Linked DNA regions of Neodiprion lecontei. The protein of the gene in region 2 purifies or fractionates together with the protein of the main gene of each other region. This does not show direct contact. Links are inferred from orthologs where the notes say so. Each region holds a gene or a part of one and is shown on either strand. Other genes may lie near its edges. The genes, in order: structural maintenance of chromosomes protein 1A, splicing factor 3B subunit 3, splicing factor 3B subunit 6 and coiled-coil domain-containing protein 97.

Region 1 (9,263 bases), on a different chromosome or scaffold from region 2:
TACAAAGTGTATAAAAATGCGTATAAATGTGCTATTCCAAAACTACATTTACTTAAAATGTAAAAATACAAAAGAACGTTCAAATAATTTGAGCAATTATTGAATTCACAAAATTAAGATAACAATTTCAATCACAGGGGTATTTTGCTGTTTGTTTTGTTTTAAGCTCTAGCAAAATTAGTTTACATACGAAAAAAAAGGAAATACAAAAGTAGGAAATTTATCTGTGCACGATTTACACTATTCGTTGGATTGGGCCATACATCACATCCTATCACTGCTTACCAACTAGGTATGAATCTGAAGAATACCACGGGTTTACACTATAGAACTATAGAATATAATAGGTGTGTGTACAGTATATCTTACGTAGTAGAAACATTGAAATTGTATATATATAAAATTGACCTAACAGTAAATGCACTTTGTTCCAGTTGTGGCCATCAGCCAAAAACAAAAGGACAAGCTATATGATATAATACGTACACTGTTTGAGATCAAATGATTACATCTTGAAGAGTTTTGTGAGTATTAATTACAATTTAGCCATCAGTTGTCGCTTAAGTCTCCTCAAAGTAATAAGATCTAAGTAATGTTACAATGCTCTGTCCTGATCGCAACTTCACAAATACTTCCAGCAATGCAAATTCATTCAAGTTGTTCTAGTAAATAACATTCGATTTTGGTCCGTTGAATTGTTTCGTTTGTGTCATGTTATTTGTGGCTATTATAAGCATTTTTTGTTGTGTCAAATGGCATCGTCAAAATATGCTTTAAGTAACTGCTGTATATGTGAGCAAGTAACGGCAGATAGTTCATGACAAACAATGTGTGCAGTCACTGAAGTAACCTAATCTAATGGAATAAGATGTTACAGATTATTACCTGGGATGAAAAATTTCCGTCGAATAGAGCGAAGGATATTCATAGCTGATAAAAACTGTTCTCAGTCAAGAATTATGGCAAATTGAATTAAAACGATCTTGACCTCGTGCATCAATTAGCAGCAACTCCGTTCTTAGGCAATGTGAACTTCACTAGGCGTGTCAGCATTGAAGTGATACATGGAATTTGTTTCTGCTGATGCATAGTAATATTGTCAGGAGTATTAGATTCAAAATCAATTGCAACGCGCTGACAAACAAAAGTCAGGAGTGTTAGCAAATCCCATCGTGAGCCATTTTCGCAAAGCTCCAAGCACAAAGCTTGCATGAACCAGGATCCTCGGGTCGTGTTCCTCCAAGAATAGAAACCTAGAAGAGAAGAATGAAATAAATATTGCTAACAATGTACTTACAAAGCCTACAAATGACAATGGTAATTACCTGGTATGGTCGAGTAGGCTATTAAAAAATCTGCATGGCTTGGTATGCGAAAACTTTGGGAACCATGTCCGTCTGTTTCTGTGCGTTCTCTGAGGCTAACACCAGGATCTAATTTGTCTCCCTGGCATGCCTGGATAAAGAACATTTTAGGTTTACCAGAGAGTGTCGGACACTTGTCTGCGGTAAAGTATGACCAAATTGTGTCAGCTTTGTAAGGAGTGTCATGGGCGTATAATATACCCAGCTCTCCATGAGACAGTACAGCCACAACTAAACAATCATGATCTGAATGATCCATTTCTGAAACTGATTCATTTCTCATGTTAGTATGCCTCAAGGATAAGTGATGAAAATTCTTGTAGGATGAGTTGGCAATTTGTAAAACAGGATCAAGCATTTGATGACACACAAACCTTTTTCTAGTTTCTTCTGAATATCCTTGAATATTAGATTCTGAAAATCTTTGACCTCGAATCCAAGTTTGACTAGACAGTTCCTTAGCGTTTCACAGTCAACGTTAGTGCCAGATCTGGGCTTGAGGTGATTTATGGTGAAGGATTCGTGGTTAAAAATCAGAGCTATACCTCGCTTGGAATGATTCATGTTGTAGTGAGTCGCGTAGCGCATTGTCGGACTATTTTGTAATTGATTTCCATAAGACTGCGCGTTGCTCCTGAAGGAAATTAAAGGTAAACAATCTTACTTCAGTTCTATTTGAAGGTTATATTAGGTTAGGGTTACATTTGGTAGATTTGATAAAAATTTTTCCAACTTACCTTCCGTAACCAAAGGCATCTCCGTAGTCATCCCCTTCGACAGAACTGTCGACGCAACTCTGAATTGTCGCAGACATTATTTTTTTCTATCTTTAACACCTCCAACAAGTATCGATAGGTTTTATCAATATAAACAAACCGCTTTACATGCAGCTTTGTGGATACACTATCCACACGCGTAACACTGTGACGATATATGGACGATATTGCCTATGCGACCATAGGTATGAAAATGTCGGACGTAGCAAGCAATGACCCTGAATGACTCATCCGTCGGCTTCTTACCTCCTCATGTTCACAAATTATCCTCTCAGGCACAGAGAGCTAATTTCGGAACGCACTTGCAGAGGAGGATTCGTGGTGAGTATTCCAAAATGGTTCCAAAGTGGTTTCAACTCCCGCGCATAGTTCCCGCCACGGTTACCGCGGTGATATATGACAAAACATCAGACTGATCGGAACGTTGAACGGAGATTCTGGCGCTTGGACATTCGTTTCTGTATTCATTTTCTCAGCGTCGTAGCGTCAGCATTGTGGCGTCTCGCGCCTGCCACGAGCTACGGTTTCGATGATTTTTCGTTAGAGGTATATTTACGTTTGGCTGCGACATGTAAATAGTTTTCAGTGTCAACACTCATGTTTTGTTGGTTAGTATTTTAGTGGAGATTCGAGAGGCGTGGACACTAGTAAACAATAACCGCGGTGATCCGTACGGTTCGCATCTGACAGGTTATTGGATACAACCATAACCAGGATGCCAGCATTTCTGAGTTACATTGAAGTCGAAGACTTCAAATCCTACAAGGGAAAACTTAGAATTGGTCCACTTAAGCCCTTCACGGCAGTCGTAGGTCCAAATGGATCCGGTAAGACCTTCCTACCAAATTCTAAATTGTCATGATCTCAAGCTTGCAACGTCGTTACTGAACATATTTTCAGATCTTTGACTCTGTCAAATTACAGGCAAATCAAATTTCATGGATGCCATCAGTTTTGTCATGGGAGAAAAAACTAGCAGCCTTAGAGTAAAAAGATTCAGTGAGCTCATCCATGGTGCTTCAATTGGTCAGCCCGTTAAGCGAAGGTAAGTAAAGGCAAATAGTCATGACATTTTTTAGTAAAATAGGATGAATGAGTATGGGGGTAAGTCCAAAAGATAGCGTTCAAGGTATAAATACTCATCAGGATGGAATTGGACTTGAACAGTACATTAATTAACTTCATGATTTTATATTTGAAGAAAATGGTGCCTCTGCCATCAATGGCTTGACCTATCTCTCATTTAGCCTTTAGATTACCATATGTTTAATTGTTGATCGGTTTAACTTTCAGTGCTTCGGTTACAGCTGTATTTAAAATGGAAGATGGTACTGAGAAGAGTTTCATGCGGTCAGTGCAAGGCTCCGCTTCCGAGCATCGTATCGATAATATGGTGTGTTTATTACTCATAGTTATTAAATTCAAATACATCTTTGTCCCTTAATTCATCAAAGTAGATCATTAGGTTTCAAAGCTTGTGTGTGAATAATCAATGATAATTAAAATGTGCAATCTTCTCATTTTGTAATTTCTTAAACCAATCTTGCATCCTGTAGGTTGTAACTAGTCAAGTGTACCTTAACGAGTTGGAACATCTTGGGATAAATGTGAAGGCTAAGAATTTCCTCGTCTTTCAAGGGGCTGTGGAGTCGATAGCTATGAAAAATCCCAAAGAACGAACAGCTCTTTTCGAAGAGATCAGCAATTCGGGTGCACTGAAAACTGAATATGAAAGGTAAATCTGAAATTTCTTACTCACGAATTGTAGCTCAAAACGGTTTGATTACATTGTACTCAATGTCTATATTTCAAACCCACTCAGGCTCAGAAGTGAGATGTTCAGAGCGGAAGAAGAGACACAGTTCTCTTATCAAAAAAAGAAAGGTGTAGCTGCTGAGAGAAAGGAGGCAAAATTAGAAAAGGAAGAAGCCGAGAAATACCACCGTTTAAAAGAAGAATGTGTAAGTGGACTGAACAACTTGATTTTCCCCCAAATTTACCTCTTGGCTACACATATTTTGATTTCTTCATTCTGTTTATCAACATCAGGCAGAAAAGCAGGTGGAGTTACAGCTCTTCAGGTTGTTTCACAATGAAAAAGAGATTGAAAATTTAGAAAACACTCTTAAAAAGAAGCAGCATGAAGTGGATAAGATATTGAAGAAAAAGGAAAAAGTGGATGAGAAATTGCGAGAGCAGAAAAAAGAGGCTGGCAAACTAAACCGTGAATATCAAAAGATTGAACAGGATATTAGGGAAATGGAAGCAGAGATATCCAAAAAAAGGCCCACTTTCATCAAGGCAAAAGAGCGTGTCACTCACATGCAAAAAAAAGTCGAATCTGCTCGCAAATCTTTGGCAACTGCTCGTACTGCTGACGAAGCCCACAAGAAAGACATAAAGGAGCTTCACGACCAGTTGTCCCAAGTTGAGCAAGCTAAAAGTGCCTATGAGGCGAATGTCGCCGGACAATCACAGTCACAGGGGAGAGACGTACAGCTTGAGGATGAACAGGTATATTTTTAGAGTAAAATGTGCAATATAAATTTTTTAACATTAAACCAGAAAAATTGGTATGGTTAATATTATTTAAAAATGATTCAAGGTCCGAGAGTATAATAATCTGAAAGAAGCGGCGGGAAAACAATCAGCACGCTACTTGCAGATGCTCGATTCCATTAATCGTCAGCAAAAATCCGACCAAGACAGGCTTGATAATGAGGGTAGAAAAAAAACAGACGTTGAAAATAAGCACAAGCAGAAAGGTCACATGAGAGACGAGGCTCAAAAGCGTGTAGAAAAGCTTGAGGAGCACATTAGAACTTCAGAAGCTGCGTTGGAGGATCAGAAGAAGCTCAGAGCTGATCTACAATCAGATGTGGGAACATCCAAAGACAAGATACAACAGATACAGCGCGAGTTGGAAAACATATCTGAACAGCTTGGTGATGCCAAAGTTGACAAGCACGAGGTTTCAAGGAACAAAAAGAAGACAGAAATTGTTGAAAATTTCAAACGTCTTTATCCTGGTGTGGTGAGTAAAAAATGTCCATTGTTTTGGTGGTAAAACTGTATTCTATTTTATTTATTTGGTTTAGTACGACCGCATGATCAACATGTGCCAACCGATCCACAAAAGATTCAACGTAGCTATTACCAAGGTCTTGGGGAAGTACATGGAAGCTATTGTTGTAGATACTGAAAAGACAGCAAGACAGTGCATACAGTATCTTAAGGAACAATATTTAGAACCAGAAACGTTCTTACCACTTGATTATATTCAAGCAAAGCCATTGAAGGGCAGACTTAGGTATGTTAAACGCCGTTCGGATTTCTGGAATGTGAAAATTATCTTACTGCTTATCAATTCTACATGGTGCTAATAATTATTTTGCAGAAACATTCAAGAGCCCAAGAATGTCAAGCTTTTATACGACGTTCTCGCTTTTTCGCCAAAGGATATTGATAGAGCTGTTTTATTCGCCACTAATAATGCTTTGGTTTGTGAAACTCCCGAAGACGCCAATAAAGTTGCGTATGAGATGGACAAAAAAACTAGATACGATGTAAGTAAATGCATATGAAGAAAAAATCGCGAAATATAAATCTCACGTTTATTTACTCAATTTAGTGTGTCGCACTTGATGGAACTTATTACCAGAAAGCTGGAATCATTTCGGGTGGAAGTTTGGATTTGGCAAAAAAAGCAAAAAGATGGGACGAAAAACAGATGTCACAGTTAAAATCTCGGAAGGTAACACTACCAAAATTAAATGCTCACACATCTGATTGTTGACGACCATAAAATAACAACCTAGAGATGCGCTCGTTGATTTTCAGGAAAAACTCACAGAAGAACTAAGAGAGGCTCTTAAGAAATCTCGCAAAGAATCCGAACTTAATACAGTCGATTCTCAAATTAGGGGACTTGAGACCCGCCTGAAGTACAATAAAAATGATTTGGTAACAACGGTAAGTGGACAGTACGGCTATACAATTAGTTTTTAACCATTTTGGCAAATCACGTTCACTATTTTAATTTAATCCGTAGAAAAAGCAAATAGCGGATCTCGAAGTGGAGCTGCAGGCACTACAAAATGAGTTAAATCTCTTTGGTGTGAGTAATCGATGAGTATTGGGAGAAATATTCCCATGATAATCGATTAATTGTATTGATATACTTTTTTGTAGCCCACAATAAGCGATATTGAAAAAACAATGGCCACCAGAGATCAAGAGATCCAAGCTATCAAGGAAAAAATGAACAGTGTGGAGGACGATGTATTTGCCAACTTTTGCGAACAGATCGGTGTTGCCAATATTCGTCAGTACGAGGAAAGAGAATTGAGGTAGAGTCCAGGAACCTGTACCATCTTTTTTTTTTTTGCCCTCTTAATTTGAATAAAATCAATGCTATTCAGCAATTATCTCCCAAACGTCTGTCAATACCTGCAGATCCAGCATAATCCTTGATCCTTGGTCCTTCAATCGTTCCACAATTGCTGATATCATTAGGTATCAATTTATGAGTGAATCACAATGAAATTCATGTTCAATCTAAATACCAAACACTCGTGTCACAGATCACAGCAAGAGCGTGCCAAGAAACGAATGGAATTCGACAACCAAACAAATCGTATTTTGAACCAGTTAGATTTTGAAAAACAAAAAGATACCGAAAGTAAGAATATTTTTCATTTTCCAATTTTGAAATACCTAATGAATTAATATCTTGGGAATTAATTTTAATCTGATTCTACAAAACAACAGGCAATGTACTTCGCTGGGAAAGAATGGTTCAAGATGCTGAAGATAAACTAGATGCGGCTCGTCAAACCGAGTCTCATCAACTGACTGAGAAAGAAAATGACGAGGTACAAATGAAGAAATTAACATCGACTCGTATTAACAAAAAGCTAGAGATGGATCAGGAAGAGGAGGAAATTGGAAAGGCAAGACGTGAAGCTGGTGCTATTGCAAAAGAAGTTCAGGCTGCGCAAAAACAGCTAAATTCAATTGAATCAAAGATTGAACAAAGGAAAGCAGATCGACATGCTATTTTGATGCAATGCAAGGTGGGTAACTTAGATATCCACAAGGTATCTCAATTACTTTCTAATTAGTTACATCCTTGAAAATCACGATAAAATCATCATCCAATTTTCAGATGGAAGACATTGCAATACCCATGTTGCGTGGGAACATGGAGGATATCACACAAGAGAGTACTGTGGCTGGAAGCGAAACAGGCACAGACTCTACATTGAATACTCAACAGCAGTACGAACGGGAAAGTTTAATCACCATCGACTACGGTCTTCTCCCTGACAGTCTAAAGGACATAGACGATGACGATATTAAAAAGACGAATGACAAACTCAATAGAGTAATAAACGAGCTTCAGGGAACAATACAGAGAATACAAGCTCCAAATATGAAGGTTTGGATTTACATTTTTATTGTTGAGCTAAATTTAACTTGACTCAGGTCACTTCTAGGTCTGAAATGAATCTGATAATTTGGAATAAATATACTTCTCGATATAGGCGTTGCAAAAGTTATATGCGGCTAAGGAAAAATTGCAAGAAACGAATGAGGAGTTCGAACAATCCCGTAAAAAGGCTAAAAAAGCTAAAACTCAGTTCGAGAAGGTTAAGAAAGAGAGACACGATAGGTTCATGGCATGTTTTGAGCATGTCGCCAATGAAATCGACCCGATCTATAAGGTAAATACTGAATATATGTCTACATACTCTTACCGTGTACAGATTTAACATTCTTGCTTCACTTTTGATTTATATTTTGACTGTTTTTCGACCCTTATCAGTCTTTAGCAAAGAACCAGTCCGCCCAGGCATTCCTTGGACCAGAGAATCCTGAAGAGCCGTATCTGGATGGTATTAATTACAATTGCGTTGCTCCGGGTAAACGATTCCAGCCAATGTCCAACCTTTCTGGTGGTGAAAAAACGGTTGCGGCCTTGGCGTTGCTGTTTGCCGTTCATAGGTAATTGCTTTCAAAGTCAAATCGAGAAGTTGGTGAAGGTATAAAAACGGCCTAAACCCGTTGAAGTTTCGGTGTGGTTTCCTTTCGATCTAGGATCTCTATGCTTCGATGTCATAAATTCTTTTACTGTCGTAGCTTTCAGCCAGCACCCTTTTTCGTTCTGGACGAAATCGACGCAGCCCTGGACAATACGAACATTGGAAAAGTAGCGAGCTACATTCGTGACAAGACTAGCTCTCTACAGACGATTGTTATTTCGCTCAAGGAAGAATTTTACTCTCACGCAGATGCGCTCGTTGGCATCTGCCCTGACGTAAGTTGTTCCGCACACGATCCCGACTCTATCCGCGATCGTAGTGTCTCGCTTGCTTCTACATGAAATAAAAATGAGATTCATTTCGATCGTGTATAGCACTCTAAAGTGCAAAAATTGAGTTTTCGTGATTTATCTTCACATACGTCTATTTGGCGATGTTACTAACGGCCTGTTCTGTTTCACAGGTTGGTGAATGTCTAGAGAGCAAAGTCCTAACACTTGACTTGACAGAATATCCAACTAATTCACAGGCGGTCGAACGGGAACCCGCAGGAATTTTCCCCCCAGCACCTATTATGAATTTGTAAAATTATCTTCAACGTAAAAGTTGGGATTAGGGATTCGGGTTTCCTGGTAATAACATTTGGAGAACGTAACGAAATACTTAATGTCAATTTTTATTTTATTTCCTTATGTTTGTTCTGTATTTTTGCACGTATCATCTGTGTTATGATCTGTAGTCTAAGCAGAATATTATAAGGAGACACAGTCTATGGGTTATTATAAAAGTTTATAAAAATTCTTTAACCATTTCGTAGTATTTTCAATATTTAGATATACCTACAACCACAGATGCGTTGATATCCATGTTATAATCTTATCAAAAAATGAATAATTTATAAATGTTTAATTAGCCTTCTTAACTGTTTATTTTTTTTTTCTCGTGCATACTGCAACAATCATTTTATAGAATACCGAATATTCAGTTTCAAGTTTTTTGCCAACTGTTACTACTGTATACCAAATTCAAAGATTACTCACATCTATTTTATTGTTTCAAAGCGTTTTAAGCCCGCAAAA
Region 2 (9,296 bases):
ATGTTTCCAACAGAATAAGGGTCATTCAGTCGAGCGCGACTTCACTTTACGGTGTGGTTTCTCAAAGGGAGACCCCTTTCATAATAAGCTTAGAAGGCGTATCGAGTTCTGACGTCCTCAAGTTTTTTTGAGACCTCAGAGGGCGTTCTTTCCAGATCACCTGATATACCCTTCTGTTTGGTTGGTTCAATCGAATTGAACTGTTCGCAAAGATCACCGTCGATTACATTTTTGACAGGATAATAATAAGATCGAAATGAAAGATGGTCGCGACCACAGAGCGGCGGATGTTCCGATCTCATATGCATTTCCAAATGTTGAAAAAAGTCGTGGTCTTCGTGACTCGTGAATGGCACGAGGACGCCAACTGTTCCACTCAACGTCGTGTACACTAAACTTTCAGAACCTCCAGGTATCAACGTAGCCTTTTGTAATGACATCACAGTCTCTCCTATGTGGAAACACGCCACGGTATCGGCTTTTTGACTCGCTCCGTTCAGCAGTCCGCGATCCCAGAGTGCTTTATTTCCGGTTGGATCCTCGTCGACGTCATCATTTATTCCTGAAGCTAAGCGAATCTAAAATAGCGTAAAAGAATGGGGTTAATTGGTTTTTAGGTAAAAATAAAGTTGATTGAAATTCAATGATAGTTAATAAAGATACTTACCACTGCAATGTTCCCAAATTTATCAGCCGTTGCGACAGTATCGTAATCAAGAACGCAAGTTGTCGTGACCCATCGCGGATGCGTATCGTCAGCAAATACGATTAATTGATTTTCTTGTCGTTTGTATCTAACTGCATATACGGATTCCTGAACGTCGCTAACGTATATACGTTGACCTACGGCGTTTATTGATACCACGGCATTTGGAATGTGCTTGTTTTCACATTTTCGAAGAAGTTTTTTCTTGCCCATGTCATACAGACGCAACATCCTTCCAACTCCGACCAGGACTCGTCCTTGGTAAGAACAAATTGCCAGAGGAACCTCGTCCATCACAGTTTTATGCATAAGTTCAAGGTTTGTACAGTCTATGTTTACTCTGGAACCGAATGAAGTAAATATAAAAATTAGATTAATAAAATTCTTTCTTGGTTATATCGAAATATTAATATTGACTTGTGTTTTCAGAACTGCAGGTATATCATCAAGATACAGAAATTAATGTGATATTTTTCATCATAACTTTACTTGGCAAGAAAAAAATAAATAAATAAATCGACAACACAATAGCGAAATAGCATTATTTTACGTACTTATAGGTGTATAAAAACCCGCCGTTGCTCACTCTAGGATTGAGCTGATAGTCCTTTGCTACACCAACGATGAGGAATTGTTGATCACCCTGATTAGCAAATCTGACTAATGACAAACTGTAAAAATAATTAATACACTTAGTTAAGAGCTACAGAAATAAACTTGAAATAAAAACAATGAGGTGCATAAATAAATTAACTATACCATAAAGCGGCGTAATTTTGTTCCAATCGATGTAGCTCCAAGGTTTGTCCAGTGGCAGGTGCCATCAGTCTCAAAGTTGAGGCCCACAGCCCCGGGCCGGCTCTAGGAGCGCCGAATACTGCTTCATTTGGTTCTTCAGACAGAAAAGCTTCGGCCAACTCCCTGGCGACAGCCGCTTCCTCGGCTCCAGCGGCCTCCTGCATTTCCTCGGCCATTTGCAGGCGTCTCTGTTGCTTAGTTTCTTCAGTGTATGCATTATGCTCGGTTTCGAGGATGATTAGATGGGCAGAATCAGGGTGAATCACAAATTTACGTGGCGTGTACTCAAGCGGGAAACTGACTTGGTTAAAAACAGCACCAAGTTTTTCGAGAGCTAGAATCCTCAGGGTATTTGTGGATATAGCGACTATGCCTTCGGGACATTGTTCGGAACTGAAACCGGACGCGAACTCCAGACTTTCATACGATAAAGGAGTCAGATGAAAACGATTTTGATAATAATAGCTGAGCCAAGAGCGACTGGACATCGCTAACACCGCTTGATTGCCTTGCATCTTTATTCTGAATAATTTTACCGGTCGGGACCCCAAATATCGAGTTCGCGTGTCGGCTAAATCACCGGAAATCGGGTCCAAAACCGTTCTTAGAAGTACGCCGTTTTGCAAACCTGAAAAACAAGATACAAATCTAAGCATAATTGAAATCACACAATTGTCAGTTCGTTGAAAAGCAAAAGATAATCAGCACTGCAGGTTTTTCATCAATATTCAGGGAACTGTCGTTTGGTCATCAGATAATTTTCAGGATTTATAAAAATCTTAGAGCATTTGTTTCAAAATTACCTATATTCAGGTATAAACTTGATTGCTGAGAGACAGAATCTTCCGAATTGTCAGCTTCCTTAGACCCCATTTCAACAATGCAGAGACTCTCAGCAGCTGCAGGCAAGGCCTGCATACTTCTGGGTGCCAGACAGTCAGACGGATCTAGGGAAATGATTCTGACTGTATTGTCTTGAAGTCCAACAGCAAGGAACCAGGATCTTTGTTCTCCAGCGGCGACGTTACCAAGGGCCATGCACATCACTTCGGATGGCATTTTCTTTCTCTCTGTGTACTCATTCAGTTGGCCAGTCTGTAATAAAATACAACTTCAATTGCAGGTCTTCATTTTATTCAAAATTTGAACATTAAACGGCATATTGTTCACCCTTGTTTCACTCAGACCAGTATTAACTGGACAGAAGAAGCAAAAGTGGATTAATTTTTGCACGTTATACATCTCCACAGAATAAGGTACATCGTGGAGAGAACAAACTGTGCGATCTATCCACAAGAAATAGAAATCTAACTCACAGGATCCATCTCAAAGTATACCAGTTCTCCTCCCGTCAAGGCAATCACAACCTGGCGTTGATTCACAGCGCATTTTACAATGGTCTTTTTACCCGGTGCTTTCCACTCGTTTACTCGTTTGTCGGCCCTAATGTGACGAATTCCATCAGGATATACCTGCAACAAAGGGAAAGAAATTGAATGGACATTCAATTTACACATCGTTGTACTCGAGGCATATATTGGATATGCGGCCGATAGTTACATGTGATAAGTGTTCGGGTTAATATACCAGGAGAATACATTTGAGTGACAGTGTGCTCCAACGATGCGAAACCCGATACTTTGATTTAGCACTGTTTTTGCGACCAACGCGTGGTTGACCAGGCGCTGGAGATACCGCAGTGCATTATTATTTATAAACTTGATGTGCTGTATCTCAATCAATAAGATGACTAGATTTTTAGGATCATTTGACATTACGTTTAGAATTTTGAAGGCGAACAATAAATTTACCTGTACTAAGGCGTCTTCTCCGAGGGCAGAACAACTGAGGGTAGGTGTCGTACCGAGGAAACCAGAGTCCGTTACTTCTTCAACAGTCTCACCGATGCTAAGCACAAGAGTGGCATTGACGAAGGACACTATGATGTATGCATCATACTCTTCTGTAACCGAAATCAAAGGATTCGTCTAGATTATTAGGAAAGTTAAGTAACCAATGTGTAAAGAACGTTGAGACGCGCGGAAAAATGACCGCATCTTGGTGTACAAGGGGCGACGCATTTTACTAAGTTTTTTTTTCGTTTTGTTTCTCAGGTCGGACTTATCCCAGACCCATCGATAGGATCCTCACCTTTTAGTCTTTCTGCATTGCATCAGTCAACCACTAGCTCGCTGGCAGCCTGAAAGAGAGAACTGGTGTTTGATAAAAGTGTATCAAGCCACCAGGTTCGTTAATATTCTTTTTAAACGGACTCTAGCTAGCGGATTTGAATACTGCGTTAAAAATCTTGCAAATGAATGAAATGAAACGAACACACTGCACGTTTCCAGGGCTACGACAGGCTTGCATCTTCTTGCAAGTGGATCAACAAAACGTTCCTGTTTATCTTTTGAACTATAAAACTTGAACTAACCGTCAACTCTTCGTTTCACTGTCCAGACTGCATTTGGGTTTCCAGGCAGCTCACTGACTGCCATTTCCGAAACTTCTAGTCCATGACGCAAAACTCGCAGCGTGGATCTTGGACCTCTACCACAAGTCATGTACAGTTGAGGAGTATCTTCATTGGCCAAATCAGCGACCTGCATACACGAAGCAAGCAAAATGATCTATTTTGCTGTCCCAAAACACGGATAACGAGATTGTAAAACATCTCAAGTGATTATCATTCCTTGATTCACTTCGGCTTGTAATAGTACAAAACAAAGGCGACAAGGAATTTTTTTTATCGCATTACAACTCAGGAGAAAGTGCAATGATGATTCGATCTCCTACTTGGAAATGCTTCCCTAATTTTGGATATTGAAAAAGTAGTTTCAGTTTTAGGTACCTGACAAGTCATGATCGGTGATAGGCTGTCCATTTCATCAACTAAAACCAAGTTCCTGAGTGGTCTGGGAGCAAAAAAGAAGGTATCACCTTCTTCAAGTGGCATTGCTGAACTGAACTCTGGTTCGTCGTCATCGTCACCAAGATGAGCAATCTGGTACAGGTAGCTGCAATTAAGTATAACGATTACAAACACGTCTGATCAATTGGAAGCTGAACCGACATAGCCATAAATGGTTAACATCATCAGTATCAAAAGTTGAAACCACTGGTAATTGGTTGGATAAACGGATTGATAAAAAGATCACGTGATGTTTCAGCTAAAAATTAGACTTACTGATTTCCAAATTCAGAGGCGACGAACAAGAAACCTGTTTTCAGGACACACATGCTTGTGGCGACAGGCACTGTGTCGAAATACTTGAGTTTTATTTCCGTTACCATATCTTCATCAGTTTCCAAGGTGATTTTGAAAATATCCCCTTGCTCAGTTTGGGCAAGAAAGAAGAACATGCTCTTGGTTTTGTGAGTTGCTGAGCAGACGAAGATCATCCCGCGCTCAGGGTCGTCCAAATCATTTCTACGTCTGGGAATTGGGCAACGGATATCGTGCTGATCCCCAAGATTCTTGTAGGTTAGGTAATTTTCTGAACAGATAAGGACACCGCTGGGACCATCATTTCCTCCAGGAACAGAAACAAGGAAATTTGCATGCTCCTCTAGAGGTTCACTGTGCTTTCTCACTACGTGATTCAATCCAAGATCAAGCTCGTATAAGGTTAACGTTTGCTGAGTTTTAACAGCTGCGTCTCCAGTCGGATCACTGTCTGCTTCCTGTACAGGGAAGCCGAAAAGCAAAATTAATTACCTTTCACAACCCTTGCAAATAAATCACAAGGAATGTGTATCTCACCTCATAGTCAATTTCCAAGCAGGCAAACATTGGATTTTCAAATCCAACATCTACACCAACTGTGTGATAGACTAGAGTGTTGCTTTTGTGGGCTTCAAGGGGAGACGAGATCGTTAAACGGGCTTCTGGATCCCTGTTCAATATGTAAACCAGTTTCTGCTTCTCGATAGCACCTGAAAAAGCCAATTTTACCGTCAGAAATGAAAATATTATATTACATTGATTCAATTAAAAAAACTACCAGTTTTAATAGTACCATCAGTTTGTAAGTTTGTAATCAATGGATAATCAGTTGAAACACGGATCATAAGATCAGCATCATTTAGCACACAACTGGTCACAGTTAAGCTGAGTAAAAAATTTAAATTCTCATAATTACCGATCATAACTGCTCTTCCTTTTGGATCAATGGCTAGATATTGTCCAGGTACAATTCTTCTGCAACCACTTTTGCCAAAGGTTTCTTGGTGCACCTTGTCGAAGGCATTTTTAGCAGGAATATATTCTAGAATGACAATGCGACCAGAGTCGGACCCAACGACAATGTAATCCTTGGTGCCCCCCGTAAGCCTGAAGGCCATAAGAGACCTGACGATGCCAAAAACCTCGACGGTCAAGAGGGTGTGAACTTTTCCAGTGTTCGGGTCGGGCCTAAGCAGCTCGAGCGACTTGCCGCGTGACACAAGTATCTCTTGCATTTTACTGCCGGAAAAATTACCATGGACGGCATGGGTGATGCCGGTGGCGCGCTGCAGTGTTAGATTATACAGATACATCGTGAATGCGGCTGATAATCCGTTATAAGAAGTTTAATTTGTCAGCGTTAGCTTCGTGCTCGCAGATAAGTTTCAGGCTGCCATGCTGCAAAGAGAAATAATCGCGATGAATAAGCTGTCGGGTAGAAAAAAAAAACCGCCGCGCCTATACGTAGTTTTGATGAAAATGCATTTCTCGGGTTACGAAGTTGTTTGGGAAGATAAATACGACATGATATAGAGAGAGACTGATTAGATGAACAAGACTTTACCTGATAGGTGTTTCGAATTCGTAAAAATCCGCCGATGTCAGCGGATTTTTATTTAATGTTTCGGGACCGCGTAGCCGAAACGTGGACACGGCACGGCGACTCGGAGAGATGAAATGAAAATGGCGGTGACCGTCGTTCCACCGCGGGAGGGATCGAAAACGGAAGTTACGTCTGGTCGCTGATGAGCGTCGCGGAAGTGACGTATAAGCTAAAAGCTTCCAGGGAGCAAACCGTAGAAAATTTACCAACCGCCCCTGGCGGGTGTATGGGCAAGCTATACTCGCGGATATAATAATTGCGATTTATGTTATATTTGCAAATGCAAAGTAGTTAATTAATTGTAAAATGATAGTATAGGGGCGATTAGGCCCTAAATTTGTGATAACAACGGTGCTGTGAATGCTGCGGTGATACCGGCTGGGGTAAGTTAACCGAAATAATATAAAGCCAGACAGGAGGGGGGCGGCGGCTTAATCGGCTAATGTTTTTTTCACACTCCCTGGGCACCGACTGACTGCCGCCCGCTGCTTCTGCATTTGCCGAAAACAACAATGGCCGAAAGCAATAAATATCGTTAGCCTCGCGGCGTACCCGGGATTCGTGGCAGATATCAAACATGTCTACAGACCGATTATTTTTTTTTCTACAAAATTTCTCGTGTACCAATAAACACGAAGTAAAACAGAGAAAAAAGCACCGTGGAATAAAATGTCACTGATTCCGCAATTTTGACAGATTTTCTGAGGTAAACAATAGCTTGTTATTTGGTCCCAAACAATTCCGAGCACCACGTATATCGCACATTATCTAATGTGTGTTTTTAATCATTATTATTATTATCTCCAGAATGGACTTGGCGGAAACTATGAAAAATATAGTGGCTAAGGGTATGCAGACAGAGATGGGACCTCCTGGAGGTGGTTATCCGGGGGGAGCGAACGGGGCTGGATATGTCACTGAGAAAATGTACATGCTGCTGCAGCTTTATTTGCAAAACAAGGGTTGGAATCCGAGCATCGAGTTACTCCAATGCTTTACCGAGCTTAAGGAGGCTTCCATGTTACCAAGCACCACCTACCTTCAGTGAGATGAGAATCAGTCAATATATTCCAAGTCATAATGTCATGCTTGAAAAATGATAGAAAAATAGGAAAACGCACCAAAAATTTAAGCACACTCAATCTTGTTTCAGGATGATGGCGTCCAGAGTTGCCTTAGATTCGCAAGGCAGACTGGTCCTACGAGAAAATGGCAAGATAATATTGCCATACGAACATTTTGCAAACGCAGTTATGCTCAAGCACATGAATGGCCCACACGGTCTTCACCTTGGTATGGAAGGTACCGTAAGAGCCGTTATGGAGTCGTACACCATTGGTCGAGAGTGTTTTGGCATGGAGAAAGAGTTTATCATTGAAGTGGTACAGAATTGTCCCAATCCTGCGTGTCGTTATTACAAAAATCAGCTCGAGATGAGTCAGAAAATGAATCACATAGGTCCGACTTACATTCAAGACAACGAAACAACAGCATCTCTTTTACGCTCTAGCTTTCCCCACAACGCTGACTTTCAGACGGTAATTTATTGAATTGTATTGACTTTGCATGCGCTTGTGCTAGAACATAACATAAAATTTAGGCAAAGTGTAAGACGATGATTAATGCAACTCTTCTGCTGCCACAGACTATGAGTGTTGCTCCATCCAATACCCACATGACCAATTCGGTAGTGGATTTGGTTGGCTCGTCGGAAATGCGGAGCGGAAACCAAATGAATCTCCAACGTCCTCCAAGTCGTCCATCACTTAATATTCCTCACCGGCCTAGTTCTCAGGAAAAGAAATGTGCCAGCAAACAGCACTACGAGCCGCTCATACCCAGCATTCCAATATCAGATCATAAATTGACTGATTTTCTGAGGGCAAATTTGGACAATCTCGATGGACTTAGCGGGTTAGGTGCTTTGGGCAATCTTCAAAGCTTGGGAAATGCCAACAAAGATCTGCTCGCGCTGCATAACGGAGCTTGGTCCGTTGACAGCGACAAGGGCTCTCGATCGTCTTCATCGAACTCAGAAGGTGGGCAGCTATTTATTTACCTGTTTACATGAGTTATTTATTAATGATATGGTATGTTTGAGTCATTGTTTTTTACACTTTACAGGTGGACAAGAAAAGATTGTAAGAGCATTTGCGGAAGTGATGAAGAACATGGCGCGGATGAAAGCTTGTGTTAGACCAGCGATGTGTAAACCATATGGTAAACAGTCTGAGGCCTTACAAAAAAGTGAGTTTTATGGGATTGAATGAATATATCTTCGATAATGGTAAATGATAAGTCTACGAAGAGAATTCTTTTTCAATTCTGTACGTTATAATGTATGGCATAATTGTTATTAATCCATTTATAGTCAATCGAATATCTCTACACCTATATTCATTTATTGTTTTGAAACCACATGTCTATAATTTACGTGCAATTAATAATTTGTTGAACTTTTGTATTTCTTGTTTGGAATTATCACGGAAGTGACGAGATTATTATTGTTTATATACCCCGTTAATATTGCAATATACTCAATAGAATTTTGAAACAATATAGTAGTGATGATTCTTGTGTATTTACAGGTTTAAATATTAAAACCTGCGAACGCCTGACTTCAGGGTGCACTTTCGAACTGGCTTCGACCTTCCTACATATTACAATAATATTTTATACTTGGCCATTTCCTAAAACAGGAGGGAATACTTTACAGAAAATAATTTGTTGATTTCAGCATTGGTCGATACAATACAGCTTGTTCAGTCTCTGAGAAGTTTTCTGCCACCACCTCACATCCCCGTTTCGAGCTGGAAAAATGAAGATAAGCATCGATTAGATCATTCTGGAAGTTCTTATCTCCCCACATTGTAAGAAATCATAATTGGTTTTTTCTTTTTCTCTTTTTTTTTTTTTTTAGTTCAGTTGATGATATTAGTAATAATAATTTGTACCAATTTATT
Region 3 (5,267 bases), on a different chromosome or scaffold from region 2:
TATCTATAACCAAGAAGGTCATTTTCATGTTGTCTAAAATTGAATATATCAAAGGCTAAGCAGAATAACGTCGTATTTCAGAATTTGTTTCGTAATCGTATTTCAAGGTAAAATTAGGTTCGTGAAATTTTCCGAGGTTACACCACTGCTGGGTACTTATAATTTTTAAAGGAATAGAAGTGCTACTTAACTTATATAATTACTGATTATAAAATCCAAAGAAGCTGAACTGGTTTCTTTCCAGAAACCAACCAAATCGTAAACCTTATTAAGGGTGACATGCGTTATTACATTAAAAAGAGACGATGACAATCATTCAGTGAAAAAAAGTTATTGAAATTATTTTTGTTTGACGTTAGTTTTTAACATAATTAATTAATAAAGTCATTTTATAACGAAACTGCTATTTATAATTTGATGAATATAATCATTTAAAATCACAGTTAATAACTAATTCATAGAACAGAATGAATATTACCCATAAAAATAAAACCAATTTTTCACTGCGGAATTGAATTATAATTTAGTAACGTAATGTTAATTCTCGAATACGATGTCGTTTAAACAAATCCTGAGGTACGATGTTGTTCTGCTCAGCCGTTGAATGATGCAGAGAACATATTTTGCGGCATAATCATGATTTCCAGATCCGAAGATCTAAATGTTAATCGTTTGACTATAAGTATGCGGCGAGTTACGGCGGAGTGTTCTACACGAGAAGAAGATTGTTTTTACTACTCGCACATGACGAACCTGGCCTAAAATTTTGTTTCTTCCAGGTCGCTGATCGCGCTTCTGATCTCAATGTTCTTGTAAAAATAATTACTTTGCTGTAAGCTTCCGATCGATGAAGAACTGTGCATTGCTATATTTCCCATTCCCCCTCCTTGCGGAAAATACTTTCTAAAGTTGCACTTTCTAGCACAAAAAATCGACCGATTCTACAGCTCGTTCTTTATCGTAGCCAAATCCCTTAGCGGGATTTTTTATAAACATGGGATATTGCAACTTTGCTTGAAATAACTCAGTTCCGTGTGAAAAAGTCGTATCAATTGACGTATTTCGTGATCCTAACGTACTTTTGAATGTTCTAATTATTTTTTGTAGCTGATTTTACTTCGTCGTTTTCGGAATTGCTGGCAAAAGAACTTGTTACTCCTAATTTATGCGATTTCGCTATACACTGATTGTAAACAATCTTTTACGGTCATAAGTTCATAGAATATAATTAAATGAAGCAGAAAAATATTTTCTGTTGATTTGCAATAGTTTCAATCTTGCTATTTCATTTAAAAAATGTCTGTCTTCATTTTTGTTATTAAGATTTTTAAATTGCTTCGACATTAGCATTCTGTTTTTTATTCTAAATTTTCGATCATACCCGGTAGCATTAATTTGAATTCAATGCGTAAACTAAGTAATTGATATGCACAGACTTTTCTCTGTCTAATTTTAATCCCTCGAAATTTATTCGCATTCAATTTATGTTCAGCAAAATGAGAGATGGATCGTTTGGAGGTGCGTAATTCTCAATTATTAATGAGAAAAATCATATTGAACGGCATTTTTCGTTTTTATTTCGATATTGATACCACTAAATAGTAGTTACGAATTACAACATCAAAAAACTTTTATTTTTTAACTGGATGAAGAAATGACAAACTACCTTATTTGTACTCAAACACTTGAAATTCACAAGTTAAATTCGCAATTTGAAAATTAATAGAAAATGAAACAGCAGTTCATTTTGTTTCGTGATTGAAATTTTCATCGTCATTAAATATCACGTCGATTTTACTGGTTCAATGCCACTTGTTTCAAAAACCTGTAGCAATCTACTAAAAATAAACACACTTACTGTTTACTAATGCTAGAAACTAGGTTATAAAAGTGGTTTTTTTCTACACTGTTCTTGTGCGTGATGCATTAAATGTAACACGAATTAGGTGATGATTTATAAATATGCAATATAAAATCATTTTATATTTACAACAAACTGCAAACAGTGCAGTAGAGAATAGGATCGGGCTTATCATACCTCTCGCTTTGATAGGAAATAACTTCACACAAGTCAGGCAGACACTTACATTTGCCACATAATTGAACCACTCATGATTATGCAGTAACTGCCGCATTCACAGTAGCGATACTTTGTAATTGTTCAAAATATCACTTAAATTTCTTAACATTACGGTTTCTTTTCTTCGTTGAGGTTGTACTTCGTTTTCAACTTATCGATTTCCTCCATCTTCTTATCAACGTCGACGCGTTTAAACGCCTTGTTACTTTGGTAATACAGTACCACTAGGTAACGGTTACAGACATTGAAACCACTCAGGTGATCGCAGGCGTTTTTTGCATCAAAGATATCTTCATAAACCACAAATGCTGTTCCTCTCGTCTCTGCCGTATTTCCTCTGCAATCAAAAAAACTCAAATTTTTACACTCGTGTCCAAATTGCTCTGCATAATAAATGCACGTATATCTCAAGCTCATTTTCAAAGACTGAAGTTATTGCCACATGATAAACAAATTCGTAGTTCCACTAGTTCCAGCGAGTACGGTAGTAGCAGTGAATTTCGTTCTACCCCGGTATTGATAATAGCTCATCGCCATGAATTAACAGAAGCAGAATAACGTGGATAGTATAATTTTTTGAATATAAAAATGCAGAACTTTTTAGAACAAGTAGAATTAACATTAAATGAGGTTAACTTACACTCTGATCTGCCGTATTGCTCCGTATTTACCAAATATGTCATACATTTCTTCAGCGGTGATTTTGTACGGCAGGTTTCTTATATACAAAACTCTGTTGACCTCTGGGGGGAGCCGAACCTTATAAATTTGAAAAAATAGTTTAAAACAAACACTTAATACTATCAAGGTAAACGTATAAATGTAAGAGAATAAACGTAGGGATTGATTCGGAGTGAAAGTGAGGTTAGGAGTCGAAGGAACGGAAGGTTAGAATTATTCAGACGGTTATAATTACGAATTTCCTCAACAAGCGTTGTATACTCACGTTGGCTCGCCGTTGTAACATTGCCATCGTCATGATTGCGGTGTACTTGAGTCAGGTTCAGAGATCAAATTAACAAAACTCAATAATTCAACTCACAGAGCTTCGAAATCAACGACTTGTCAGAGCGCTGTCCAAATGAACACTGATGAACACTGTCGCCGAACGCAAGAGCTTCGGTCAGCGGTGAGTCGGCGTTGCCAGCCCTCTGGTGGCAACAGGTCGTACTCGAAGTGAACCTTTGTAATTTGCTGCGCGCGCAACAAACTACAGAAGCATAAAGAAGCAAGTCAAATACTCGAGATTTGTGAAATATATAACAAGATGCGCCATAATTTTTAGAGGAATAATTTCAATTAGAGTTCAACCAATGCCTGTTATCAGCGCCGGCAATTTTTGTGGGCATGGTGTGGCGGAACTCGACACCTAGATCTTGCACCATGTGGAAATTCCACACCCTCAACGTAGCGATTTTTTTTTTTCAGAAAAATACATAATCAAGTATCACACGATACTTATTTCAGATAATTAAAAATCCAAATGCGATATGCATTTATCTTAAATATATTCGAGTTCCAATTTTTACACCTACCATACTTGGGCCAGTCAAATAGGGCTCGATTTTCATAAAAAGCCTAAAAAAATTTCCCACAGCTAGCAATTTTCAGGGTAGAGGCGTTACATTATTCCAATAAACATATCTTGTTGAAATTTTGAAATCTGAGTGCTACAGGGGGTGGAAAAATTGTTTAACCGGCAAAAACGGCAAAAAATCGAGACGTCGAAACGGTTCCTCGCTTACGGTTTGAACGAATTTGAAAATTTCTAAAAACCGAAAACACGATTTTTAGAGGATATTTATTTGAATACGTCCAAACGAATTTTTTTATTCTATGTTGACTACAATTTTGTTATCTTACCCCCCCCCCCCCCCCCCCCAAACCCCCGTTCTAGCCACGTTAATTAAGGGGGGAAACCAGTTTAGACCGATCGTAAAATCGTCTTTTTGTTTATTGCATGAATCGTTAGTATAACTATTCAAGAATATGTGGTCAAATTTTCAAAGCAAAATTCCCATTAGTTCGAATGCAATGAGCACTTAAGTGACCGCCCGTCGGTTCCGTGAAGAAGCGCACGGTAATTATAACGGAGCGGTCGCCCAGGCCCTTCTTTTCCAGCTACCTGCCTCAATACCGCTGTGCTATTATTGAATAATAGAATGACGCATATGAGCAAGAAGAGGGATTGCTATATGGTGCCAGAATAGCTGATTAACCGGTGAGCATTTTCTATAATTAATTACTGCCTTGAATTTCTCGTTTTCGCTACATTTTATTTCAAACGCGTTTTTCTCGAAACGACTTTTCTTCGACTAGCGTACATTCTAGCTCAAAAAGTTATTGATCAATCGTTCTGAAATTTGGTGTAGATATTCTTTATTCAATTCCACGTAACATGAACCAAATTCGGGGATTATATTGTTATTAAAAATATATGTTTTTATGCAAGAAAGATGAAAAAATATAGTATAAAAACATGACATTGTGTTCAAACACCTCAAAAACATGCAATTTTCAATTTGTTTGATCAAAATTAGGTTCATATTCTTAGAAAATATGTTTTTAATGAAAAAAAAATCCTGCTGATTACGGATAAAAATTGCGACGTCAGGGATGTACGCCAGCCAAATGCTCGGATGGCAATCGCCCATGGACTGCACGCGGTAACTGCACTATTTCCGGCGGAAATCGTTTGAAAAAATTTTTAAAGTGTACTTGAAAACATAAATAAAATATCCTCCAAGTTTAAACAATTTGTGATTATTCCTTCCTGGTTAAAAAAAATCATGAAAAACAGCAAAATTTCGACCTCATAAACCGGTTTCCCCCCTTAAAAAGTTCACACCCTCCGCGACGACAAGTTTGCCGACGATGACTTGTATTTCACATCATCTGTGACACATTTCTACGCTTGAATTCGATCTAATGTGCTCTTCAATCGATGGTTTTGAGTAGGTGTGCGCGGTATTTCGGTAAATCGAATTTTTTTCGGTATCTCCTTCCTCGAAATGTATCGGTATGGGAACCTTCTATCAATACCAATACCGAAATATCGAAATTTCGGTAAATACCGAAGTACCGAAATTTCTGATAATCTAAATAAATATTCACATTATTCGTATTTAGTACAGTTCAATACAGATTTTTCTTATTCTTTTTCCGACGATATTTGTAGATTAAAGTC
Region 4 (5,833 bases), about 18 Mb from region 2:
TCTAGGTAGCAAAAAAAAAAGAAAAGAAAAGAAAATCAGCATCATTTCAAATGCCGGTATACAAAATCAAGATGGCCAACATTGATTCGCTTGGAGTTTTATTTCAGCTGTAAAATCATTTGTATCACTGGTCAGTTATCGAATGTTGTTTTGGGCCACACAAGGTGACGGCAAGATTATTTTAGTTCTAAATTCACCTGTAACGGAAGTTTTGAAATTGAGAATTTAGTTTGCAAAAGTCACGTGTATGTGTGTTTGCCTACTGTTTACTCTCAATAATTCAATCTTTATTCTCACAAGAAATATCCGTTAGGCGTTACATATATATTGGTTCTTTCACAGTGAATCACGATGTAACTACCCGAAGATGATGCTCGTGAGAGAGAATGAAAAAAATTAATAAAATTAAAGCTTGGTATCTTTGTACACGCGAGATCTGATTGCAACGTGTGATGATATTACATATTTCAAATTTGAACGTGAACGGCAAATGTGTATCGTTGACTGAAGTTTATTCTTCAGTCAACGTGTGTATTAACGTACATTGCGTTGAACCCTTATCGGTGTGAATAGAGAGCAATTACGATTTTGCAAACGGGCGTACAGGTATGATTATCGAGTGAAAATCGAGCATGTGAACCCCGAATAAGCGGACTCAAAGAGTGTACTTCGTTCGGCGGTGTGATTACTATCATTATTATTATCACTTCGCATGAGCGTTGATGACTGTGTTTGACAGCAGATACTCGTTTAATTAATTGGCAATTTGGGTCAACAGGTCTGGCGGACATTGACGAAATTGTTCCGCACTTCGCCTATGAGAGAGATGATTCCGTGCAATAATATTTACCAACCTGAGCGGGACATTCGTCTGTTTTTACAATACCAAAGGAATTTAAGGCAGAAAACATCTTCGTCATCTAATATACACAGGTTTATTATACAATTACAACTGTATTGATTCGCATTGAATATTCAAAGTATACGTAAGCTTAAGTTTATCGTGCATTTGTGACAGCTTTGACGATTAGGATGTTTGAACTTAGGTATAGTAATGCAATAAGTGAAGACCCTATTTAGGTTTATGATCATTAGTAAGTGATAAAGAAAATTAATTTAATTAAAACAAAAAACGGATACATATTTACAAACTCATGAATAAAGGAATTACGCTGAAGCCGTTCAATGTATCGTTTGCTTCTCAACTTTGTCGGCGAGCTCGATCGGAGTGGGCGTTTCCTATTTGAAAAAAATTAGCAAATATCTGTACCGAGCCAAGAATTAAAAGAATAGTGCAAACAAGTTCTTCCGTAATCAATATTTTTATTTAACCTGCAACGATTTCATATATTTATCCAGTTCATCCTCACTGGATTCTCCCTCCTCCATTTTGCCCTCTTCAATTGTCTCTGGTGATTCCGAGTCGAAATACTTTTCCTCCTCATCCTGGGTCCGCAGATCTACGTTATCATACGATTCCTCGTCGTCGACGGTGCTGAAACACAGAACACAACGCTATCGATCCAACGGTTTTTTATAGATGGCAGCACCGCTCGTGCAGCTTATTTTCAAATTTAAATTTCGAACGATTAGAATCCACGGCATTCGTTTTTGCGATTTAAATACTGAAATTGCGCTTTTAATACATTCTGATTTGCGGCAATGTTTGGTTAATGAAGATGTTATACCTGTAGTCGAAGTCCTTGTCCCTCCCATTCAAGAAACTGTGATACATATTGGTAATGAATTCGTCCCTAAGAACTTGCCGCTCCTTGGTTGAAATTTCGCGGTAGAAGCTGTCAGTTTTCTTTTCGTTGGCCTCCTTTTCGTACGGGTTTGACGATTGGCCGGGCATCTCGCCCCACCGGGAGTCTCCCCTAATTTCAGAGTCATCCTCGGGGTCAACGGCACCCTCGAAATCGTCGTCCGAGTCGTTCTCTTCCATGACATCGTCCTCGGCATCCTGCTGCTCCTTCTTTAAGTTCCTGGTCCCGTCCCGCTGAATGCTTTCGAGCAGAAGATTGACGAACGTAATATTCTGGGTGTCGATATTGTCTCTGGCCTTTTTCTGCTCCTCGGTAAGGTACTGGCCTACCAGGTGTTCGTAAAGTAGGGGATTCCTCCGCATCATCTCCGTCTCGCTGAAGTACTCGCCCTTTTCAATAAGCGATTTTAAGGCCTGGTACCTGCGATTTTTCACGTCGACTCGCCTCTGCGAGCGGTTGTGAAAGCGGCGCAGTCTGTTCACGTGGAATACTACTTCGTAGTCCGGCCGATCAAGAGGCTCGTTGAAGTACCGAAGATGTTCGCCGCGCAGAAACCTGCCGAACCTGGAGAGGAACATGGAGCGATTTTTGTGCAGCAGGTCGCTCGCGATGCTCGCCTTTTCCTCAACTGTCAAGTCCGGGTCGTTCTTCTGCTGGCTCTTGAATATCGCCTTGGAATTTGCCACGCAGGCGATCATCTCCTCGAAGAGAATTGCCTGCTCGGCGGTTTCGCTCGTTTCAGAATCTCCGGCCTCCCTGTCGACCGTCATATTCGCTTCTTGATTATCGTCTGCTGCTGCTGCTGTTGCGGGTGTTATTGTCGAACCTTCGTCCTTACTCATCAATAAATATCACGCAAATATCACCGGCTCAAAGTCACAATTCTCTAAAGTTTATTTAAGTTTGTCACTGTGTCACGCAGACTGCGCGTCACCCGCGTCAACTCACCGAACATAACCTTAAAACTCCCTGTCGTCTGCTAGTGAATCACTGCGGGTAACTTACACCAATGGTGTAAGCGAATAGGTAAGACAAGATATAAGAACTGCGGGAAGTTTCCTTCGGAACTTTTCGGTGACAAAGAAAATAAGCCGTCGGCTCGATATTTCATGCACAAGACTTTTCTCAGCGAGAGTTTGCATTCGATTGAAAAGTGACAGCGGTAAGAAACGGAGAGTTTATTATGAAGAACAGCTCGTGAGACCAGGTAATTCGTTATCGTGTAATACAAAATATGTCTTGAGGTTATGTTTACTTGTCAAAATCCGTGGCTTTTCGCCAGTTGCCACTTCGATATTTTGTGAAATTGATTTTCGAGCCGTTTAAATCAATTTCAATCCTCTCTACGATCTAAAAAAAAGTAGAAATATACTTTCATTCCTCTTAATCTTAAGCCGAATACGGATTTCACGAGATCTGCAGAGAATTTTACATGAGAATATAAGCGAATACGCGCCCTGCAGCACACGTGTCAAACGACGTGTTTGCTTTTGTGCAGCTAATAATTGTCCTCTTTTGGCCATGAATTGTTGTTGGTTTTTGTTTCCACTCTACAATCCGCCGGATTAATTTTAGTTATTTCGATTCAATCGAAGTTTTCATAAGGAAATTTATGCGTAAGATGCCGGGGGATGAGCTTTTGTCTTCACATTTTCGGATTTGTATAATCTTGGCTACATTTTTGGCTATAAGAGATATTTTACCAATTTGTTCGCAGTTCCTCATTCAATCACAATGGACTATATGACAATGGATGGCGATGATAATGGACTATGGCACTGGAACTGGACCGAGCTGTGCGGGATCAGAGGTAGCATAAGACCCATTAATCCCAATACACGCGACCTTGGCACATGCTTTCAGCAGTTATGCCTGCAGGTAGAAATTTATTCAGTGGATTATAATTATAAATATAAGCTTTCGAACTACTTAAATCACAGACTGACTGAGTGAATGTAGATAAACAAGATTCTTGAAGGATATTACCCCTAATTAATTTTTCTTATATGTTCTACAGATTCCAGTCCTTGCTTTTTTGGCAATGCTATCAGCCTACTATTGCGGAAAACGAACGGTGTTGATTTCACGGTCAAACCGCACTTATTATGTAATTGTGCTCAGACTTTTTATAACCGCATGTCTAGCATTACTGCCTATCATCAAAGCGTACATCATATTGAGCAATGCAACAATGCTTCCGTTGCATCGTGACATTGCGAATATCAATGATAAAAGTGCTGACAGTGACAGTAATTTGAATATTCCATTCATCGTCGTCAAGCCTACGACAGATGCAAATGAACCTAACATTGTTGTAGAAGCTGAAGAAGTTATGCAAAAAATTGGTACTGCGGTCAAAGGCATTTTCCATCAAAACAACAGTCTTCCACATACTGCGACAAGTTCTTCAGCTGTTCGAGAAGATACTCATAGTTATGTAGTATATAATAACATCGAAAACGTAGCCACGTCGGCAAAGCCTATTGATTACTTGGTAGCCGGAACTGAAGGCTTAGCTTGGGTTGTTCATTTCTGTTTTGTATTAGGCCTTAGCAATGGAAATCAGTTTAACCCACGCGGTCCTGTGTCCATCAGAGCTCTACTTTTTCTATTAATGGGTATTTCTATTCTGCTGTTACGTTCTCACGTCAAACACGCTCCCCTTGACGATACACTGCCAAATCTTTCACTTGGATTCAGCATCGCCACTGTAATGCTCTTAATCTTGTACGCTATAACGCTAATCCCAGGCAGTGCAAGCTTCGTCGAACATAGTCAGGCAAGTATTTCTACACCTTTATGTTTTAGCGTCATCGTTTTAGAGTCCGAAATTTTTCTTCAAGTTTCTTTCATTTTTAGTTTCGTTTCTCCAGAAAACTGATATAAAATGTACCCTCAATACCTTACTTCTTGAAATTCTTACCATCGGTGTTGAACAACACAGACGCTGTAATATCTGGCAACTGGCATAGCAAATTTAGATACTCAGTAAAACATGTAAAAAAAAAATCTTGTCACAGGTAGGGGAGCACACAGCTCTCTTGAACAGTCATGGTCATTCTGTTACATTCTTTCACGATGGCTTTCTTGAAGAGCGAGACCCGAGTTATCTCGGAACTGCTATGGAAGATGCAACTGTTATTTCAAAGCTGCTGTTTCACTGGGTTACGCCGCTCATGCAAAAAGGAGTGAAAGGACTCCTGAATCATTCTGATGACTTGTATGATCTCCCCGTTGATGTCAGTACCTCTAGTGTCAGCCATGATGTGAATCGCTATATCCATGATCAGGTCTGTACGAAAAGATTATTTCCATTTGCATAAATATGGCATTTCTATATTTAGTATAAGTTTAATCTGTTAAAATCTAGTTGAGAGATGTAAGAAGGAAGGTGGCTTGCTGTTCAAACTTTACGAATCATTGGTACTGTCAGGCAAATTAAGTCGCTCAACATTTCAACTGCAAAATTTGGTATTCCAGATCCAGAAACGAAGAGGTTACCTCAGTGTTGATGCAACTTCGGCGTCATATATTCCAGAAACATTAGTTGGGTCAGAAGCACCTCGCATTTCGTTATTGAAACTGTTGCACAAGTGTTTTGGTATCCAATGTTACGCCGTTGGTATTTTGAAATTTATTGCCGATTGTTCCGGATTTATGGGACCCATATTGCTAAATAAACTGGTTGGATTTATTGAAGATAAAAGCGAACAGCTCTCGCTCGGTTACATGTACGCAGCTTTACTTTTTTTATCTACATTAGCAGGTGAGTTAGGTGTTTATTTTTCATACAACGGAATTAAGAAATCTGAAATTTTGGAGCATACAATTTTTTTTTCACAGGAGCCTTTTGCAATTCTCACTTTACTTTCTGGAGTTCGGTTATTGGATTGAAAATGAGAGCGGCTATAGTCACATTAGTGTACAGAAAAACTTTGCATTCTTCCAATATTGAGTTAACCAAGGAATTCACATTCGGTGAAATTGTCAACTTCATGAGTACAGATGCCGACAGAATTGTCAACAGTTGCCCAAGTTTTCACACTTTATGGAGTATTCCTTTGCAG

Evidence for each region.
Region 1: the proteins of splicing factor 3B subunit 3 (region 2) and structural maintenance of chromosomes protein 1A fractionate together in Homo sapiens (co-fractionation; 3 studies listed by BioGRID, with this or other methods). This does not show direct contact. The link is inferred for Neodiprion lecontei from reciprocal best matches to the Homo sapiens genes SF3B3 and SMC1A.
Region 3: the proteins of splicing factor 3B subunit 3 (region 2) and splicing factor 3B subunit 6 fractionate together in Homo sapiens (co-fractionation; 5 studies listed by BioGRID and IntAct, with this or other methods). This does not show direct contact. The link is inferred for Neodiprion lecontei from reciprocal best matches to the Homo sapiens genes SF3B3 and SF3B6.
Region 4: the proteins of splicing factor 3B subunit 3 (region 2) and coiled-coil domain-containing protein 97 purify together in Homo sapiens (affinity purification with mass spectrometry; 3 studies listed by BioGRID and IntAct, counting the BioPlex papers as one, with this or other methods). This does not show direct contact. The link is inferred for Neodiprion lecontei from reciprocal best matches to the Homo sapiens genes SF3B3 and CCDC97.

The regions. Positions count from the first base shown.
Region 1 is NC_060260.1:1,031,505-1,040,767, reverse strand, and holds structural maintenance of chromosomes protein 1A, read left to right. Parts: upstream 1-2,474; 5' UTR 2,475-2,686; intron 2,687-2,753; exon of another isoform or gene 2,754-2,830; 5' UTR 2,831-2,855; coding exon 2,856-2,967; intron 2,968-3,064; coding exon 3,065-3,185; intron 3,186-3,433; coding exon 3,434-3,533; intron 3,534-3,696; coding exon 3,697-3,875; intron 3,876-3,962; coding exon 3,963-4,101; intron 4,102-4,189; coding exon 4,190-4,654; intron 4,655-4,745; coding exon 4,746-5,174; intron 5,175-5,238; coding exon 5,239-5,450; intron 5,451-5,537; coding exon 5,538-5,706; intron 5,707-5,771; coding exon 5,772-5,894; intron 5,895-5,980; coding exon 5,981-6,112; intron 6,113-6,191; coding exon 6,192-6,257; intron 6,258-6,331; coding exon 6,332-6,489; intron 6,490-6,723; coding exon 6,724-6,821; intron 6,822-6,910; coding exon 6,911-7,215; intron 7,216-7,307; coding exon 7,308-7,580; intron 7,581-7,686; coding exon 7,687-7,866; intron 7,867-7,967; coding exon 7,968-8,146; and 6 more. Other genes in the region: caspase-1, read right to left, coding at 997-1,253, 1,326-1,631, 1,739-1,998, 2,102-2,178. UniProt on the Homo sapiens protein: Involved in chromosome cohesion during cell cycle and in DNA repair. Central component of cohesin complex. The cohesin complex is required for the cohesion of sister chromatids after DNA replication.
Region 2 is NC_060262.1:21,777,505-21,786,800, reverse strand, and holds the start of splicing factor 3B subunit 3, read right to left. Parts: upstream 6,445-9,296; 5' UTR 6,295-6,444; intron 6,129-6,294; 5' UTR 6,044-6,128; coding exon 5,647-6,043; intron 5,441-5,646; coding exon 5,268-5,440; intron 5,189-5,267; coding exon 4,692-5,188; intron 4,522-4,691; coding exon 4,356-4,521; intron 4,108-4,355; coding exon 3,939-4,107; intron 3,468-3,938; coding exon 3,316-3,467; intron 2,977-3,315; coding exon 2,821-2,976; intron 2,600-2,820; coding exon 2,308-2,599; intron 2,133-2,307; coding exon 1,466-2,132; intron 1,378-1,465; coding exon 1,261-1,377; intron 1,047-1,260; coding exon 668-1,046; intron 579-667; coding exon 90-578; 3' UTR 1-89. Other genes in the region: uncharacterized protein LOC107222893, read left to right, coding at 7,142-7,377, 7,487-7,871, 7,979-8,372, 8,458-8,580, 9,071-9,203. UniProt on the Homo sapiens protein: Component of the 17S U2 SnRNP complex of the spliceosome, a large ribonucleoprotein complex that removes introns from transcribed pre-mRNAs.
Region 3 is NC_060261.1:29,430,243-29,435,509, reverse strand, and holds splicing factor 3B subunit 6, read right to left. Parts: upstream 3,202-5,267; 5' UTR 3,060-3,201; coding exon 3,027-3,059; intron 2,840-3,026; coding exon 2,721-2,839; intron 2,418-2,720; coding exon 2,189-2,417; 3' UTR 1,555-2,188; downstream 1-1,554.
Region 4 is NC_060262.1:39,743,895-39,749,727, reverse strand, and holds coiled-coil domain-containing protein 97, read right to left. Parts: upstream 2,731-5,833; 5' UTR 2,609-2,730; coding exon 1,689-2,608; intron 1,496-1,688; coding exon 1,333-1,495; intron 1,240-1,332; coding exon 1,183-1,239; 3' UTR 917-1,182; downstream 1-916. Other genes in the region: ATP-binding cassette sub-family C member 10, read left to right, coding at 3,501-3,644, 3,784-4,545, 4,787-5,056, 5,247-5,532, 5,610-5,833. UniProt on the Homo sapiens protein: May play a role pre-mRNA splicing through the association with the splicing factor SF3B complex which is involved in branch-site recognition.